Linked DNA regions of Macaca fascicularis. The protein of the gene in region 1 interacts with the protein of each later gene in a biochemical or structural test. Links are inferred from orthologs where the notes say so. Each region holds a gene or a part of one and is shown on either strand. Other genes may lie near its edges.

Region 1 (3,500 bases):
TTAGCAAAAAAAAAAAAAAAAAAGGCAAAACCCTGCTTTCTCTTCTAATTATCTCTCAGTAAATAAGGATAAACGGAGCCATCTGGGTCCACTGACCCTTTACATTTCTCAGTGTTCTTACATCACTTAATAAATAACTTATACAAGGATAAAGATATACTAAAAAGCAACTCTATTAGAAGTTTTAATAAAAATTTAAACAAAAACCTACATTTTCATTATACATTTTTTCTGCTTATGAAAGTATATATACTTGGCCAGGCACAGTGGCTCACGCCTGTAATCCCAGCACTTTGGGAGGCTGAGGTGGGCGGATCACGAGGTCAGGAGATCGAGACCATCCTGGCTAACACGGTGAAACCCCGTCTCTACTAAAAATACAAAAAAATTAGCCGAGCATGGTGGCGGGAGCCTGTAGTCCCAGCTGCTCAGGAGGCTGAGGCAGGAGAATGGCGTGAACCCAGGAGGTGGAGTTTGCAGTGAGCTGAGATCACACCACTGCACTCCAACCTGGGCGACAGAGCGAGACTCCGTCTTAAATAAATAAATAAATAAATAAATAAATAAAGTACATATACTTGAAATGGGCAATGTCCTTTGAATGCAATTAACTGCGCAACAAGTGTCTTGCATGGACCTGGCAATCACCATCCCAAGAATATAGAGTCCAGATTTCAAATACATAGGTTCAAATACAATAGGTTATAGCTCACTGTTGCTTCTGGTTCTTTTTCTTATACTGTCAAAATGCAAAACTTTTGAAAACTTGATGGCTCATAATTTTGTTCAAAAGAGAATGGCAGTCTATGATACACAACCGTAAAGCCAATTAGGTTGATCCACACAATGTTTTCATTTCCATATCATCTCTTTCCTTCCAATCACCGTTGTATACACACCTGGCTTTAGCATTTGTCCACTGATGAACTATATCAAGTAGATTTTAGTACATCTATCACAACTTTCATCACATAATTGTTAAATGTATTCTTATATGTTTTCATTCATGAAATATTTGCCTTAATCCCTCTTAAGCCTACAAGACTGAGAGGGCACTGAATTACCACGCAGGAGGGTTCTTAGTAGAGAGCAGCTCAGGGACGTGGATGACTGGATGCTCTCGGGAGTATCAGAACAACAAAGGCACGGCAAGAAACAAACACCTGACTGTACTGTTTATACTTTATTATTTAAATCAGAAATGCAAACTTAAATTTTCCTGGGAGTCCGACAAGCATGCTGGACACATGGGAGCGGTACAGACAAGGGTGAGCTAAAAAGGGCTGTCTCTAAAATCACTAAAATTACTTTGTTTTTAAAATTGTGTGTGGGGTCAAACAAAATTGTAGAGGCAAGATTTAGGTCTTTGGGTAAAAGTCAGCATCCACGATTACACACCACTAAGTTCCAAAAATGATCAGAGATAGCTTATAAACAACAACCATATATGTAGCAAGGTGAATAAATGCAAATAGGAAATACTAGATCTAAAGGGAGTATGAAGGAGGAAGGTATCTGTACAAGAAAACTGAGGAGATGCAGAGACTGCAAGTAACCTTTTAATTTGGTCATAAGCTTTCTAACATGAAAAGCTGCACGCTTCTTATTGACGGGGATTATTTGGAAATATTTGTTGTTTTTTCAGGAAGATGAAATTATTTCCTATCCCTAATACCCTGTTACATATAGAACCCACTTCACTTAGGTAGAAAAATCCATTTAGGACAAGAACAGTCATCCTCATTTTGTGGGAAGGACACAGACCTTCAAAGATTCATATGCAGTCCCCACAGTAAAAATAAAAAACAAGAACTGCCAGAAATTATACTGATACTGTGACTAAAGACCTAAAATAGCATAAGGGAAAGAGACTACATAACATTGTGATTTGGCGATATCAGATACAGGGAAATGTCTATAATATAATAATAATGACAGTGAAAATCACATTAAATTTTATTGGCTCAGGTATATAAACACAAATGACCACATTCCTAAACCTGTTAAGAACCTTTTACTGAGGGCACTGACTAAGATGGCTTTGCTTCCCTTTCCCAAGTGTGAGATAAAGCAAATTTTGATACACAATTGCTGTTAGTGCCATTCCCTCCCTTAATAAAAGGATCCATCAGAAAACAGAGCAGGAACACAACTCAAAGGGACTCCTAAGTGGGAGGAAACATAAAACACCAAGTACTCACTGCAGCTGCGGTACAATCCCAGAACTCTCCGAAGCCGGAGTGGCAGGAGTGATGGGGGTCATGGGGGTCACGGGGGAGGGATACAGTGGAGTGGTGCCCGGCAAGGGTGCAGTTGTGAGAGTCTGTGAGTGGAAGAGCTGTGGTGCCTGGCCTGAGGTTCCCTGTGTTGTCTGCTGGGATGTTGACTGCTGAACGGCTGCAGCGGCCACTGCCTGTTGCTGCTGCTGCTGCTGCTGCTGCTGTTGTTGCTGTTGTTGCTGCTGCTGCTGCTGTTGTTGCTGCTGCTGCCTTTGTTGCTCTTCCAAAATAGACAGACTATTGGTGTTCTGAATAGGCTGTGGGGTCAGTCCAGTGCCATAAGGCATCATTGGACTAAAGATAGGGATTCCGGGAGTCATGGCACCCTGTGGAAAGCAAGGAGAAAAACAGGTTAGGCTGGCTGCTGCTGAGTGTTTGTGGAAGTTTCTTGGTGGAACAGCAGGTGAGATGTGCAAAGACAGACGCCCTCTGAGAATAATGGGGTTATTAATCTTTAATTACGGAAGAACCAGCTATTCTTATACACATTGCTTTCTTCTTTAATACCACACAGTGGATAAACATGAAGAAAAATGGATAAACTGAACTTTGGAAAAATTAAAAACTTCTGTTCTCTGAAAGACACCATTGAGAAAATTAAAAGGCAGGCCACAGATTGGGAAAAAAATACCTATAATACATACATCTGAGAAAGGACTGGTAAACAGAATAATAAAGAGCTCTGACAACTCCATAAAAAAAGATCAACAAATAAAATAATGAAAAAGGACAAAAGATGTGAAGGGCATATTACAAATGAAGATACAGGCATACCTCAGAGATACTATGGGTTAGGTTCCAGACCATCTCAATGAAGCAAGCAGCATGAATTTTTTGGTTTCCCAGTGTCTACAAAAGTTATGTTTACACTATAGTCTATTAAGTGTGCAATAGCATTATGTCTAATAATATGTATATACCTTAATTTTAAAATGCTTTATTGCTAAAAATGCTAACAATCCTGTGAGCCTGCAGCAAGTCATAATCTTTTTGCTGATAGAGGATCTTGCCTCGATGCTGACAGCTGCTGACTGATCAGGGTGGTAGCTGTGGCCATTTCTTAAAATAAGACTGACGAAGTTTGCCACAAGGACTGACTCTTCCTTTCACTGAGATGTCTCTGTAGCACACGACGCTGTTTGACAGCGTTTTACCCACGCTAGAACGTAGTTCAAAACTGGAGTCAGTCCTCTCAAACGCTGCTGCTGCTTTCTCAACTAC
Region 2 (4,028 bases), on another chromosome or scaffold:
CCTGGTGTCCACGTCTAAGGCCCAAACAGCTGGGAAGATGTGGAATCACCTTTGTGCTGCCTGGCGGCTTAGGAAGGCCTTCATGGCCGGCCTCCTCCCACGGCCACACAGAGGAAAGGTGGATGTTAATACAGGTGACGAGACATGCAGAAAGAGGACCTGCGCCCAGCCCAAGGGCACATGTAGTTTTACATGCTGGCCAAACATTTATCAGTGCCCGCGAAGTGCTTCAGTGCGGGGGCTAGGCCTTACTGTGGCATAGAATCCAGATCAAATTCTACACTATCCCCTGGAACGCTTTGCTCCTACGGGATTCTAGGAGTAGTTCCCGCAGACCAGAGGTGGAGCAGCGCAGACCATCATGGAGGGTGCACTGTAGCCCGCACTCTTAGAAATAGAAAGTGTCATCTGGAGTGGAGAACGAGGGGCTGCTTTATTCTAACGGACTTTTTCTTTTGATTGTCTCAGTCCTCTGTTGGATTGCGTTCACCCCTGGCGCCAGGGCCCCCTGGCCCCACTCAAACGTGTGTGTGTGTGTGTGTGTGTGTGTGTGTCGGTGTTGGCGGGGGGGAGGGGGGAAGTGTTGAGATTGCCTCTCCCCTCAACCTGTGGCATAGTCAGCAGACACCAACATGCCCAGCTGTCTTTTTCTTTTGACTTCAAAATAAACCTCAAGGGTGGACGGTGAAGAAGCATTAGAGCGCAGGACTAGTGCAGGTCGGGGATGGGGTCCGCTGGGGACTGCCCCCGGATAAAATGTGGAACAAATTATTCCCAACACGGCCGGGATCGCTATGACTTTGTGATCTTGGGGCCCAAGGCCCTAAGCGTTGGAAAGGACACTCTGCTTATGCAGCAGCTTTCCTGGCAGAAAGTGAATTCAAATCGAGGATGTTTCACCACGCGGGTTTTGCCTAAGCATACATTTTTTCACACTTCTTTTAAAAAACAACCACCACAAACAAACAGAAAAAAAAAAAAAAAAAAAAAAAAAACCCACAACGATCCTTTGGACTTTCAGACCACCAGGATATGAGTCAAACGAAATCTCGTGTTAACACCCCGCTTCTTCCCCGCTGGAGGCCACCGGGAGTCCGGGAAGCGCTTGGCCCCCAACTAGCTTTCCGGCGGGCCGCCCGAGGGGCGGGCGCCGAGAGAAACGTCACTCTCTTCAGCGGCGACAACCCAGCGCGGGGCCACCTTCTCCAGCCATTAGGCTTAGGGAGGGACTGGCCTTTCAAAGACGTTTAATCCCCAGATAAAAATCATTCCTCAGCATCACGCCATTGAATTCTGGCTGCTATTATGCCGAGCAAAATAATCGGAGGAAACGAGGAAAACTTGGGAATTTCCCGTGCTCCTGAAATATCTGCGAGCGTGTTCTCTGAGCAGAGCAGCCAGGGGGCCGCGAGGCCTTGGAGCGAACTGCCTTGAGCACCTGGAGTCCACTTTAATGGCTCAGTTCTAGACATTTGTGAGCTTCCGACAGGATTAAAGAGGGCGCCTTCCCCTAATTGACTTGGTGCCCCGCCCCCTCCACTGGAACTTGAGTGTCCCCACCCCTGAATCATCCATCCGCCCAAAGCACCAACTATCTGCCTCAAACTCGAAGGGCATGGGGAGGTGGAATTCTGTAGAAGCTTCGGAACCTCTAGGCAAAGATGTACTTGAAAGCGAAGAGGGGCTGGGGGACGCCAGCTCCTACTGTGAGAAAGTGAAACTCCGGGTGCAGGCAAGATCTGCGCACCACACACATTCATCCGCTGGGGTGAAGCCGATGAAACAGAGTTTGGGATCAGATGAGGGATCATGGACCCCCGGGGTCGTTTGGTGGGGGCAGGAGGACAGGGTGCCCAGACATCGGTGTCCTATCCGTTAACTCCCACCCGCGTCTCCGGGCCAAGGCGAGGAGGTCTGGAACCTTCTTCCTGGGTGGGAATGGAGGGAGGCGCAAGACCCGGCCTTGCAGCCCTCGACTCCCTAGCACCGGCTGCAGGTACGCAGGCGCCGGAGGCCAGCAGGAGCCCTCGGATCCCACACCCCGCCCGGCCCCCTCCCTCGGCGCCTGGGTTCTGGCTACTCACTGGCCGGCGGCGGGGAGAAGCGGGGGCTCTGCATCCAGGGCGTCCTCTCGGGCTTCTCGGGGCTCTCGGCTTTGACGAGCGCATCTTCTGGCAGCTTCAGGAGTCCCCCCACCGAGAAATGGCCGAGCGGCCGCGGCGAAGAGGGCGCGTCCGGGGCGCCCAGCGACCCCGGCGGGACGCCCAGTGGCTGCGCCGGGCCACCCGCCGCCTGCGCGCCCTCGGAGGGCGCCAGGGCGCTCTCCTTGGCCCCCGGCTTCCTGTGGTCGGCCATGAGAGCCTCCACGCTGAAGGGCAGGAGCGAAGGGGACACTTTGGGCTTGGCCCCCTCCTCGTCCGCGCCCATGGCGGCAGCCGTGGCCGCGGCTGCGCTGGGGGCCTGGCCCGCGCCTCCCCCCGCCGGCTTGCCGAAAGCGGAGTCCTCCACTTTGACACCGAGTGGCAAAGAAGTCATGTCAGCAGCCGGGGCCATGCAGAGCCGGGCCCCCCCTCCTGCCGCAGCACGGGCCAGCCGCCGGGCATGGGCTCGGGGCGGGCTGGGAGCGCTGCCTGCCTCTGGGAGCGCCCGGGGCTCTGGCGGGGCGGACCCTCCCGCGCGCGCCTCCCGCCCCTCCCCAGCAGGCCAGCTCCGGCGCGCTGGGCCTGGCTCCTGGTCGTCGCCGCCGCCGCCGCTGCAACACAGGCCGAGTTCCCGGGAGCACCCGCCGGTTCCTGGCCCTGCCGCGGCTCCCCAGAGAACTTGCTAATAAGGCGAGGCCAGCGCGGCGGCGGCCAATCAGCGCGCAAGGGGGCGGGCCCGGAGCGATCCATTGGGCCGCGCTCCTGGGGATTCTCCCGGAGGCGCGCTGGGCCTGGGGGCGCGCAGGGCAGGGCCCAGGCGGCGGAGGGCAGGAGAGGAGAGGGGGTGCCCGGGGAACTTTCCTCCGCGCTGAAGCCCAGGAGGCCCTCTCTGCGGGGGTCCCCCTGGGTCTCTATCTTTCTGTGTTCCCGGGGGATTTTCCCTTGTTCTTGCTCAGTCTCTTCTGTCCTCCTCTCCTCCCCTCTGCTCCTCAGCCCTCTTTTCCGCTACTCTTCCCACCTCCCGCGTCCTTGTTTCTCTCCTCTACTGCTTCTTTTACCTTTCTCTTTAGTCTGTGGCTGGGTTTCCCTGTGCCTTCTCCACTATCTGACCCCCCCCCGCCTTCTTCTTTTACAATAATTTGAGTTGAGGTCATTTCTTATACATTCCTTTTATATATTTTTAAAAATACGCATGGCTATTTATCCTAGGAGAAAGACATACTATTAACTTCTTTCCAAAAAACGAAACAAAATCAAACCTTCATTTTCTTCCTGTTCTGAAATCTTCTAAACTTTACCTAGAGGTAAAAGTGGGCCTTTGTCTCTAACTCAGAGCTGGAGTAAACCTTGCGGGAAGAAGCCAGCTTCCTGTGGTGCCATGGATGTGAGAATACTAAGATTATCTAGAATCTGGAGTCGGTTTTCATACACCATGTGTATTTCTCCCCCACCCTCGCTCTGAACTTCTGTCCCGAGGGTCACAACACCTATAGCGCCCGGCCAGGGAAAGGAGCTGCCGGATTCTTTTGATATAGAAATAAAACCAACAGAAACATCAACAAAACACCGATCTGACCTTAACGTGACCTCAAACAACGCGTCCGCGGAAACAATGACATGTCCCTATCTCTGGGTCGCTGATTCTGGAGGGGAAAGTCACATTTGGGGGAGGGGGCCGGGAAAAGAGGACAGTTCCTGGCGGTGGACTCTCGTGCGGGACTTGAGAACTTTTGTTTTGCCGATTTCGGAGAAAACATGATTTAATGTTTGCTGTTAATAAAAAGAAAGTAACAAACAGGAAAAAATGAGTTGGGGTCAGGGGAGATGCAAGATCTGTGCGAAGCGGGGTCGGCGCTTGGCCATTTTCTGCGCCTGTCGCTTTATGGC
Region 3 (4,138 bases), on another chromosome or scaffold:
GATATCTCGCCACTGCACTCCAGCCTGGGCGACAGAGTAAAGACTCCGTCTCAAAAAAAAAAAAAAAAAAAAAAAAAAAAAAGGGTGGGGAGTGGGGGGTGGGATCTTGCGCATTTCCCTTTTTCTCTTTTTTTTCTGAGACGGAGTTTCACTCTTGTCCCGTCACCCAGACTGGAGTGCAATGACGCGATCTCGGCTCACTGCAACCTCCACCTCTCAGGTTCAAGCGATTCTCCTGTCTCAGTCTCCTGAGTAGCCGGGATTACAGGCGCCCACCACTAAGCACGGCTAATTTTTTTGCATTTTTAGTGGAGACGGGGTTTCGCTATGTTGGCCAGGCTGGTCTCGAACTCCTCACCTCACGTGATCCGCCCGCCTTAGGCCTCCCAAAGTGCTGGGATTACAGGCGTGAGCCACCGCGCCAGGTCGCGCATTTCTTTTTAGACTTATTGCTGGGTATGTCACGGGCCCTATGGCGATTATGAACCGCATCTGCAGATATTTGAGGGCGTGCGCAGCCAAGGTTCCCACTCTGGGCAGGGGGCACAGCGAGGTGACTCACGGGAAACCACAGGTGGCCACGAACGACTGCTAGAAAGTGGGAATTTTAGGAAACAGAAAACGGGGAATAGCGGGGCCACGGGGAAGCTCCAGAACTAGGGCGAGCGGAGGGGCGGGCGCCGCAAATGCGGAGGGCGGAGCAGGGTAGCCCGGGGCGGGTGTCTCCGCCTGCGCGGCCAGGCCCCCCAGCGCAGCTGCCCTGGCCCCGCCCACCACTCCCAGAGCGCCAGCTTGGGTCCTAGATCGCCCTCAGGAGCCAAGGCCCCGCCCACCACGCTCGGCCCCTTGCCTCAGGCCCGGCTCACAGTTCGGGTCGAGACCCAGGCTCCGCCCCCTTCCCCGCCCACAGCTCCAGTTCCCTTCGCAGGCCGAGTCTCTCTACTTGAGGCCCCGCCCACCACCCTCAGCCCCGACCCCGGTTCCGAGTTCTCAGGCCTCGCTCGCCGCTTGAGACCGCGCTCACTATGCGAGGAGGACCCTCCCCTGCCCCGCGTCCAGCTTTAGTCCCCGACTGCGTTCATCGCCAAGGGCCCGCCCACTGCCTTAAGTCCAGTCGCCAGCCTCGGGTCCCGTCCCTGGCCGTACTCACTGCGAGGCCCCGCCCACAGCTCTAATCCCCGGCGTCGCCCGCCACTGAGGCCCCGCCCCCAGCTCCTGTCCCGGGCGGCGCTCACCGCCGTGGCCCCGCCCCGAAGCGCCAGTCCTCGGCTGCGCTCACCGAGAGGCCCCGCCTCCGGCTCCGTTCCGCCGAAGCCCCGCCCCCGCGGGCGGCCCCTCCTACGCCGGCGCGCCGCACGGGAGGCCAGCTCGCTCACTGTGGGGAGACCGCGGCCGCGCCAGGCCGGGAGGTCGCGGCTCCAGTCCTCGCGTCCCCGCTGTGGTCCCGGTGCCTGTCCCAGTCCCGCAGGCGCGGCCGTTACGGGCGGCGCGGCCCCGGCGCGCGCGGCGAATCTGCGGCTGCCAATCGGCGGGCGCGAGGCCTCGCGAGAGCGGCGAGGCCTGAGCGACTGGGCCTGGGCGGGCGGCTGGGCCTGGGCAGGCGGCGCGGGCTGTTCCGGAGGCTCGGGCGGCTTGGGAGGCTTGGGAGGCTCCGGGCCCTGCCCGCGCGTTCGCCGGCATGACGGGCCGCGTGTGCCGCGGTTGCGGCGGCACGGACATCGAGCTGGACGCGGCGCGCGGGGACGCGGTGTGCACCGCCTGCGGCTCAGTGCTGGAGGACAACATCATCGTGTCCGAGGTGCAGTTCGTGGAGAGCAGTGGCGGCGGCTCCTCGGCCGTGGGCCAGTTCGTGTCCCTGGACGGTGAGTCCCGCGGGCTGGCGCTGCGCGGACTTCCCGATGCGGCTTAGGCGGGCTGGAGGCGGTGGCGGCGCGGCCCGGACCCGCGCCTCGGTACCGCCCGCTCTGTCGGGGCGCACGGTTCTGCGTCGTCTTGGCGCGAGTGTGGATCCCCTTGGCGTGAGTATGGACCCCCGTGGCGCGTGTGGACTTCCTCGACACACGCGTGGGCCAGGGCAGCCAGCACAGGGAGGATTGAGGACAGCCTGGGGAGCCCAGAAGGCCCCTCAAGCTGTCCCTCACTGTCAGTCTCTGTGCCTGCAGTTTTGTTTTCAGCAATGTCTGGTACTTAGCATCCGATTGCTGCTGCCCTTGGCTTTGGCGGTTCCCGGGCGGATGCCCTAGGGCCACTCAGGCTGCTGCAGGCCTGGGAGGGGACGTGTCAGGGATGAGCAGTATTGTGAGCTGGGGATGGACCCCAGTCTGTGGAAGGAGCTGGACTGTGGCTAATTTCAGGTGGTTGTGAATAGAGCTGCTGAAACGATTCATGTGCAACTCTCTGTGTGAACATACGTTTTCATTTCTCTGGGGAAGTTAGCTATATGTTTAACTCTATGGGAAACTGTCATGAACTGTTTTGTGATGTGGCTGTGCCGTTATGCATTCTCGCCAGTTGCCCCATATCTTCATCAGCACTTGGTGTTGTCGAGGTTTTTAGTTTGGTTGTTCTAACAGGTGTGTGGCATCTCATCAGAGTGGTGCTCTGTATTTCCCTACTGGCTGGTGATGTTCTACCTCATTAGGATGCTTATTTGCCATGCCCGAATCCTCTTTATTGAAACGTGTGCTCAAGTCTTATTTTTCATTTATCTTGAGACAGGATCTCACTCTGTGGCCTAGGCTGGTGTACAATGGCCCAGTCATGGCTCACTGCAGCCTTGAACTCCTAGGCTCAGGCAGTTCTCCTGCCTCAACCTCCTAAGTAGCTGAGACTACAGGTGCATGCCACCACGACGTGTAATTTTTTTAAATTTTATTTTTAGTAGAGACAAGGTTTCTATGTTGCCCAAGCTGGTCTCAAACTCCTGGGCTCAAGTGATACTCCAGCCTTGGCCTCCCAAACTGCTGGGATTACAGGCGTGAGCCACCACACCCTGACTCTCATTTTTTGTTTGGGTTGTTTTCTTATTGTTGAGTTTTGAGAGTTCTTTGTGGATTGTAGTTACAAGCCCTTTGTTGTATATGTGATTTTTCAAAGCAGAAGTTTTCACTTTTTTGTTTGTTTGTTTGTTTTTTTGAGACAGAATCTCACTCTGTGGCCCAGGTTGGAGCGCAGTGGCACAATCTCGGCTCACTGCAACCTCTGCCTCCCAGGTTCAAATGATTCTCGTGCCTCAGCCTCCCAAGTACCTGGGATTACAGGCGTGCGCCACCTCACTTGGCTAATTTTTGTATTTGTAGTAGAGACAGGGTTTCACCATGTTCGTCAGGCTGGTCTTGAACGCCTGACCTCAGGTGATCTGCCTGCCTTGGCCTCCCAAAGTGCTGGGATTACAGGCATGAGCCACTATTCCTGGCCTAAATGTGGTCTATCTTGACCTAAGTTTTGTATAAGGTGTGCTTCGTAGGTTGAGGCTCGTTGTTTATGTGGAGGTCCCGTTGTTTCAACACCGTTTTTTGAAAGACTGCCCTTTGTCCACTGAAGGCCTTTGCTCCCTCAGCTGTGCTCACTGGGCCCCGTCCGTGCAGGTCTGCCTCTGGGCCTTGTGTCCTGCCCTGTTGATCAGGTGCCGTTTCCTTTGTCAGCATCACAATTTTTTACTGTACCTTTTATATTGTCCTGAAATCAGATATTGTGAGTCCCCCAACCTTTGTTCTTCCTTTTCAAAGTTGTAGCTATTAATTTCCCTTTCCCTTTTTAATTTTAGAGTAAGTTTATGAGTATCTATAGGTCACATATTATTATCTGAAATGCTTGGGACCAGAAGTGTTTTGGATACTGGATTTTTCTGATTTTGGAATATCTGCATTATAATTACTGGTTGAGCATCCCTAATCCAAAAATCTGAAATCTGAGATGCTCCAGTGAGCATTTCCTTTGAGCATTGTGTTGATGCTCAAAAAGTTTCATGTTTTGGAGCATTTATAATCTCAGATTTTTGGATTTGGGATGTTCAACCTGTACAAAAGTCCTGGTGGGGTTTTCATTGGAATCGCATTAAACCTTTCGATAAATTTAGGGAGATCTGACGTTTTTTCTTTCTTTCTTTCTTTTTATTTTTTGTTTTTTTTTTTTTTTT
Region 4 (4,098 bases), on another chromosome or scaffold:
GTTAAGACTAGTGTCAGCTGGGAGGAAAAAGACTCATACTTTGAAAGCTTCTAAGCACAGATAGCTCAATAAATGTTAAATGAACAACACATGGAACAACATCTTTAAATTGCTCTGGTCCCATTATTACTGGTTTCACAAGCCTTTATTAAATGTCTTCTGTTTGTGAGGCACTGTGCTCTAAGCTTTGAAAGGTTATGGAGGATAAATCCTTGTCTGCGTGCTGCTTAGATTTGAGGAAATGGAGCATTCAGCTAAAAATTTAAAATATAAGCATTAGTAAGAAATAATCAGAGTGAATTCCAATTAAGGCGTGAACAATCACTGTACGGTGAATCAAAAACCTGCCTTCTCTCAGTATCAATTTTTTTTTTTTTTGAGACAGAGTCTTGCTCTGCCGCGCAGACTGGAGTGCAGTAGGGCAAAATCGGCTCAATGCAACCTCCGCTTCCTGAGCTCAAGCGATTCTCCTGCCTCAGCCTCCCGAGTAGCTGGGGCTACAGGTGCGAAGCACCACGCGCCGCTAATTTTTGTACTTTTAGTAGAGACGGGGTTCATTCACCATGTTGGCCAAGCTGGTCTTGAAGCCCTGACCTCAAGTGATCCGCCCACCTCAGCATCCCAAAGTGCTGAGATAACAGGCGTGAGCCACCACACCCGGCCTCAGTTTCAATTCCTAAGAGCCACCTGGCTAGGCAACCCACAAGGCCTCTACATTCAATTTCATAAGTAAAATGAGGACGCTGCGAAAGCTATCCACATCCAGCCCAATTGTAAGAATGAGAAAACGTGTGTTATTTTTTAAATAGTAAAGTCATAAAAACATATGTCATTTCAGTATTACTATTTCGAGTTGGATCTGAAAGAAAAGAACGATTTACTGCGCTGAGGAAGGTAGGAGACAGCCTTGGGAGGAGGGAAAGCGTGGGGCCGAGAACAAGAAAGGAGAATTGTTAAGTGAGAAGGTGGGGGCAACAAGCTGATTGTGAATTTCTAGAACAGGAAACATTTGTGTCTTATTATTTCACGTTGCAAAGGCAGGACCTTAATCTGGACTTTTAAAAAACGACTCTAAAATATTTAAATAGGCCGGCCGCAGTGGTTCACGCCTGTAATGCCAGCCCTTTGGGAGGCCGAGACGGGCGGATCACGAGGTCAGGAGTTCTAGACCAGTCTGGCCAACATGGTGAAACTCCGTTTCCGCTAAAAAATTTTTAAAAATTGCGGGGCGTGGTGGCGGGCGCCTGTAATCCCAGCTACTTGGGAGGCTGAGGCAGGAGAATCGCTTGAACCAGGGAGGTGGAGGTTGCAGTGAGCCAAGATCGAGCCACTGCACTCCAGCCCGGAAGACAGCGCGAGACTCTGTCGGCACAAAAAAAAAAAAAAAAAAAAAAAAAAAGATGTAAATAAAGCCGTACAGTTTACAACAAACTAAATGCTTACAGTATTTGACCCTCGCAACTCCAGGAGCAAACAGGTATTAGTGTCATTCCTATTTTAATACATGAAATCTGAAGTGAAGCTGTCTGGTTAAGGTCGCACAGATGGAAGAGCCAGGGCCAGAACCCAAACCTCCTGACTCCTAACTCAAGTGCTCCTTACAACAGATCTGGAATGCTGGTAAAGGCCTTTAAAACAAAGGCCACCTATGAGGTTCGGGAACGTTCAAAGGCATCTAGAGCAGAAGGCTTCGCAATGTCTTCACGTGCTCCGCCTAACTTTTCCTCCTTTTTCAAAGACTACTCAATATGTGTAGTACGCTTTAGATCTCTGGACCCACCTATGTAGTAAACAGGTTACATCACCATGTTCATTTTACAATTAAACAAAACTATCACAACTCAAGGAGTTGGCTGGTTCCTCCGCGGGCAGATATGGAAAACCCAAAAATTAAACTGAAATCTGCCTCCAAGCCCACGATTCTTGCCATCATTCGACCTCTTTCAACCTTCCTACCTCCCCTCTGTTTTACTTTTTCCCAGCCTCGTTAGTGTCCCTGGCACCTCAGGATCCGGCCATGAAAAGCGGGCTGCTTCGCCCTTAAATGACGGAAGTGAGGAGGTGGGCGGAAAGCGGGCCGCAGCATTGTTGTGGAAAACGTCTTTAGACTTCAGAAATCAACTACTATCGTTAATGTTTAGGGATCATCACAAACCAAGTCTCCAAAAGGTAGCCCAGAAAGCAGTCCGCGTACAAGCATCATTTTAAATCACAGCCTTGAGCTGGCTGGACCCCGTGGCTCCTCAGACTCCACAACGTGGTTCGCTTGGCTACCGCGCCCGTGAACTTGGAGGCTTGGAAGAGGCACAATCAGGTAGCAAACAGCGAATTTTCCCTCTTTCCAACCCAAAAGTTTGCTCAATGAACCTCCGGCCTAAAGACAATGCTCCGGGGAACGGTTCGCGTGCTCGGTGTTTCGCTTCCAGAACGGCGGCCCCAGCTTCCCGTGGGGTGGAGGTCACGCTCAGCCTCCCGGGAGGCGGCGGCGCGCCTGGATCCTGGGGAACAGCAGGACGGGGCTCTGCGCCCCTCACCCGGCGGCCGCAGCCCCTACCTGAGTGAGGCGGGCAGCCTCTCACGACTCGCCGCCCAGTTCCTGCGCCTCCGCCTCGGCCAGCCGCCCACGCCGGCACTGCAGCCTCTTCCTGCTCCTCGTCAGCGCCCCCGCCTGCCCGCACGCACGCCCAGCGCTGACCCGCCAGGTCGGGGTCTCGCCACTGGCGGCGGCGGCGGCGGTGGCTGAGGCGACGACTCGACCCGGGACTCCGCCCGCCACTTCCCGATCTGGTGCTAGGAGCTCAGTCCCGGCAGCCACCGCGGCGCCAGGGCAGCGAAGCGAGCGCATGCGTCATAGGGTGCCCCGCCTCTGGTGCCGCGGGAGCAGAACTATCCCGCTGTGGCGTCCTGGAGCCTCCATGACAACGAGGGAAGGGCCGGGGCGGGGCCGAGGAGTGGACTGAAGTGGGAGGCGGTGCCAAGGAAGATGGAAGACAGCTTTCTTTACGCACATTTAATTAAAGCTGCTACAGCCTGCTCCCGCCTGCGCTGGGATGTGGTGAACCCAACCAGCGACGCTATCTTTCAATGGTTACTTTGTGTTTTTTGTCTTTTTCTTATTAGAGATGGGATCTCACTTGGTCGCCCAGGCTGGACTGCAGTGGCGCGATCTCGGCTCACTGCAACCTCCGCCTCCTGGGCTCAAGCCACTTTCCCACCTCAGCCTCCGGAGTAGCTGGGATCACAGGCGACTGCCACCACGACGGGCTGATTTTTGTTGTTATTGTTTGTATTAATAGGGTCTCACAGTGTTGCCCAGACTGGTCTTGAACTCCTGAGTTCAAGCGATCTGCCCGCCTCGTCTTCCCGAAGTGCTGGGATTACAGGCGTGAGCCACCGCCTCCGGCCTCAACGGTTATTTTGTGAGTTTACCCCAGTGCCACCCACCAGCACCTGCTCTCCGAGAACGCGGTTCCAGCTATTTTACAAGCGAAGAACAGAGGGCCAGGAAGCTAATTAATAAATGACTTGCTCAAGACAGCACAGCTAGCAAAGGCAGCATGATGTGGAGCTCAGCCCAGCCTCTTCCCTCCACCCCTGTGAACTGTCTTAGAAAAGGATTTTGGATTTAGAAGCCAGATAAATGGGTGGAAATAAAGCAATGGAAAAAATAATTGTCGTTGCTCGAACCCTGCAGCGTGGCAGGCCTTCCCTCACTCTTATAACCTAAAGCGCCAGTACAGCCAGTGCTCAGCCATTCTGTGGCTGTCGTTGAATTACTTAACTACTGGTTACTCTTCAAGTTACTAAAACTGTGGCTCAGTTTTCTCACCTGGAAAATCGGGATAATCATTGTACTACTACAATGAGTTACTTGCATTGGACTGTGGTGAAAATGAGAAATACCTAAAATTTTATTCAAAACTTGGAAAAAAGTCAAAAGATAATATTTTGTGACCTTTTTGATTAGTTTCATTCTAGAGAATTTTGTAATAAGCCTACTTGATCATCTGACACCCACAGGAAATGTAACTTTGAATAACAATTGATTAGGGCCCAGAAGATTTACAAAAGGATGAAATCAAAGATTAATTGGTAGGA

The links.
Region 2: the proteins of TBP (region 1) and MSX1 form a complex in vitro, tested with the Homo sapiens proteins (2 studies listed by BioGRID). The link is inferred for Macaca fascicularis from reciprocal best matches to the Homo sapiens genes TBP and MSX1.
Region 3: the proteins of TBP (region 1) and BRF1 form a complex in vitro, tested with the Homo sapiens proteins (2 studies listed by BioGRID). The link is inferred for Macaca fascicularis from reciprocal best matches to the Homo sapiens genes TBP and BRF1.
Region 4: the proteins of TBP (region 1) and GTF2E2 form a complex in vitro, tested with the Homo sapiens proteins (2 studies listed by BioGRID). The link is inferred for Macaca fascicularis from reciprocal best matches to the Homo sapiens genes TBP and GTF2E2.

Annotation. Positions count from the first base shown.
Region 1 is NC_088378.1:506,202-509,701, forward strand, and holds part of TBP (TATA-box-binding protein), read right to left. Parts: intron 2,606-3,500; coding exon 2,202-2,605; intron 1-2,201. UniProt on the Homo sapiens protein: The TFIID basal transcription factor complex plays a major role in the initiation of RNA polymerase II (Pol II)-dependent transcription.
Region 2 is NC_088379.1:8,182,999-8,187,026, forward strand, and holds the start of MSX1 (homeobox protein MSX-1), read right to left. Parts: upstream 2,801-4,028; 5' UTR 2,554-2,800; coding exon 2,085-2,553; intron 1-2,084. UniProt on the Homo sapiens protein: Acts as a transcriptional repressor. Capable of transcription autoinactivation.
Region 3 is NC_088381.1:173,470,408-173,474,545, reverse strand, and holds the start of BRF1 (transcription factor IIIB 90 kDa subunit), read left to right. Parts: upstream 1-1,338; 5' UTR 1,339-1,678; coding exon 1,679-1,862; intron 1,863-4,138.
Region 4 is NC_088382.1:33,861,081-33,865,178, forward strand, and holds the start of GTF2E2 (transcription initiation factor IIE subunit beta), read right to left. Parts: upstream 2,801-4,098; 5' UTR 2,195-2,800; exon of another isoform or gene 1,957-2,194; intron 1-1,956. UniProt on the Homo sapiens protein: Recruits TFIIH to the initiation complex and stimulates the RNA polymerase II C-terminal domain kinase and DNA-dependent ATPase activities of TFIIH. Both TFIIH and TFIIE are required for promoter clearance by RNA polymerase.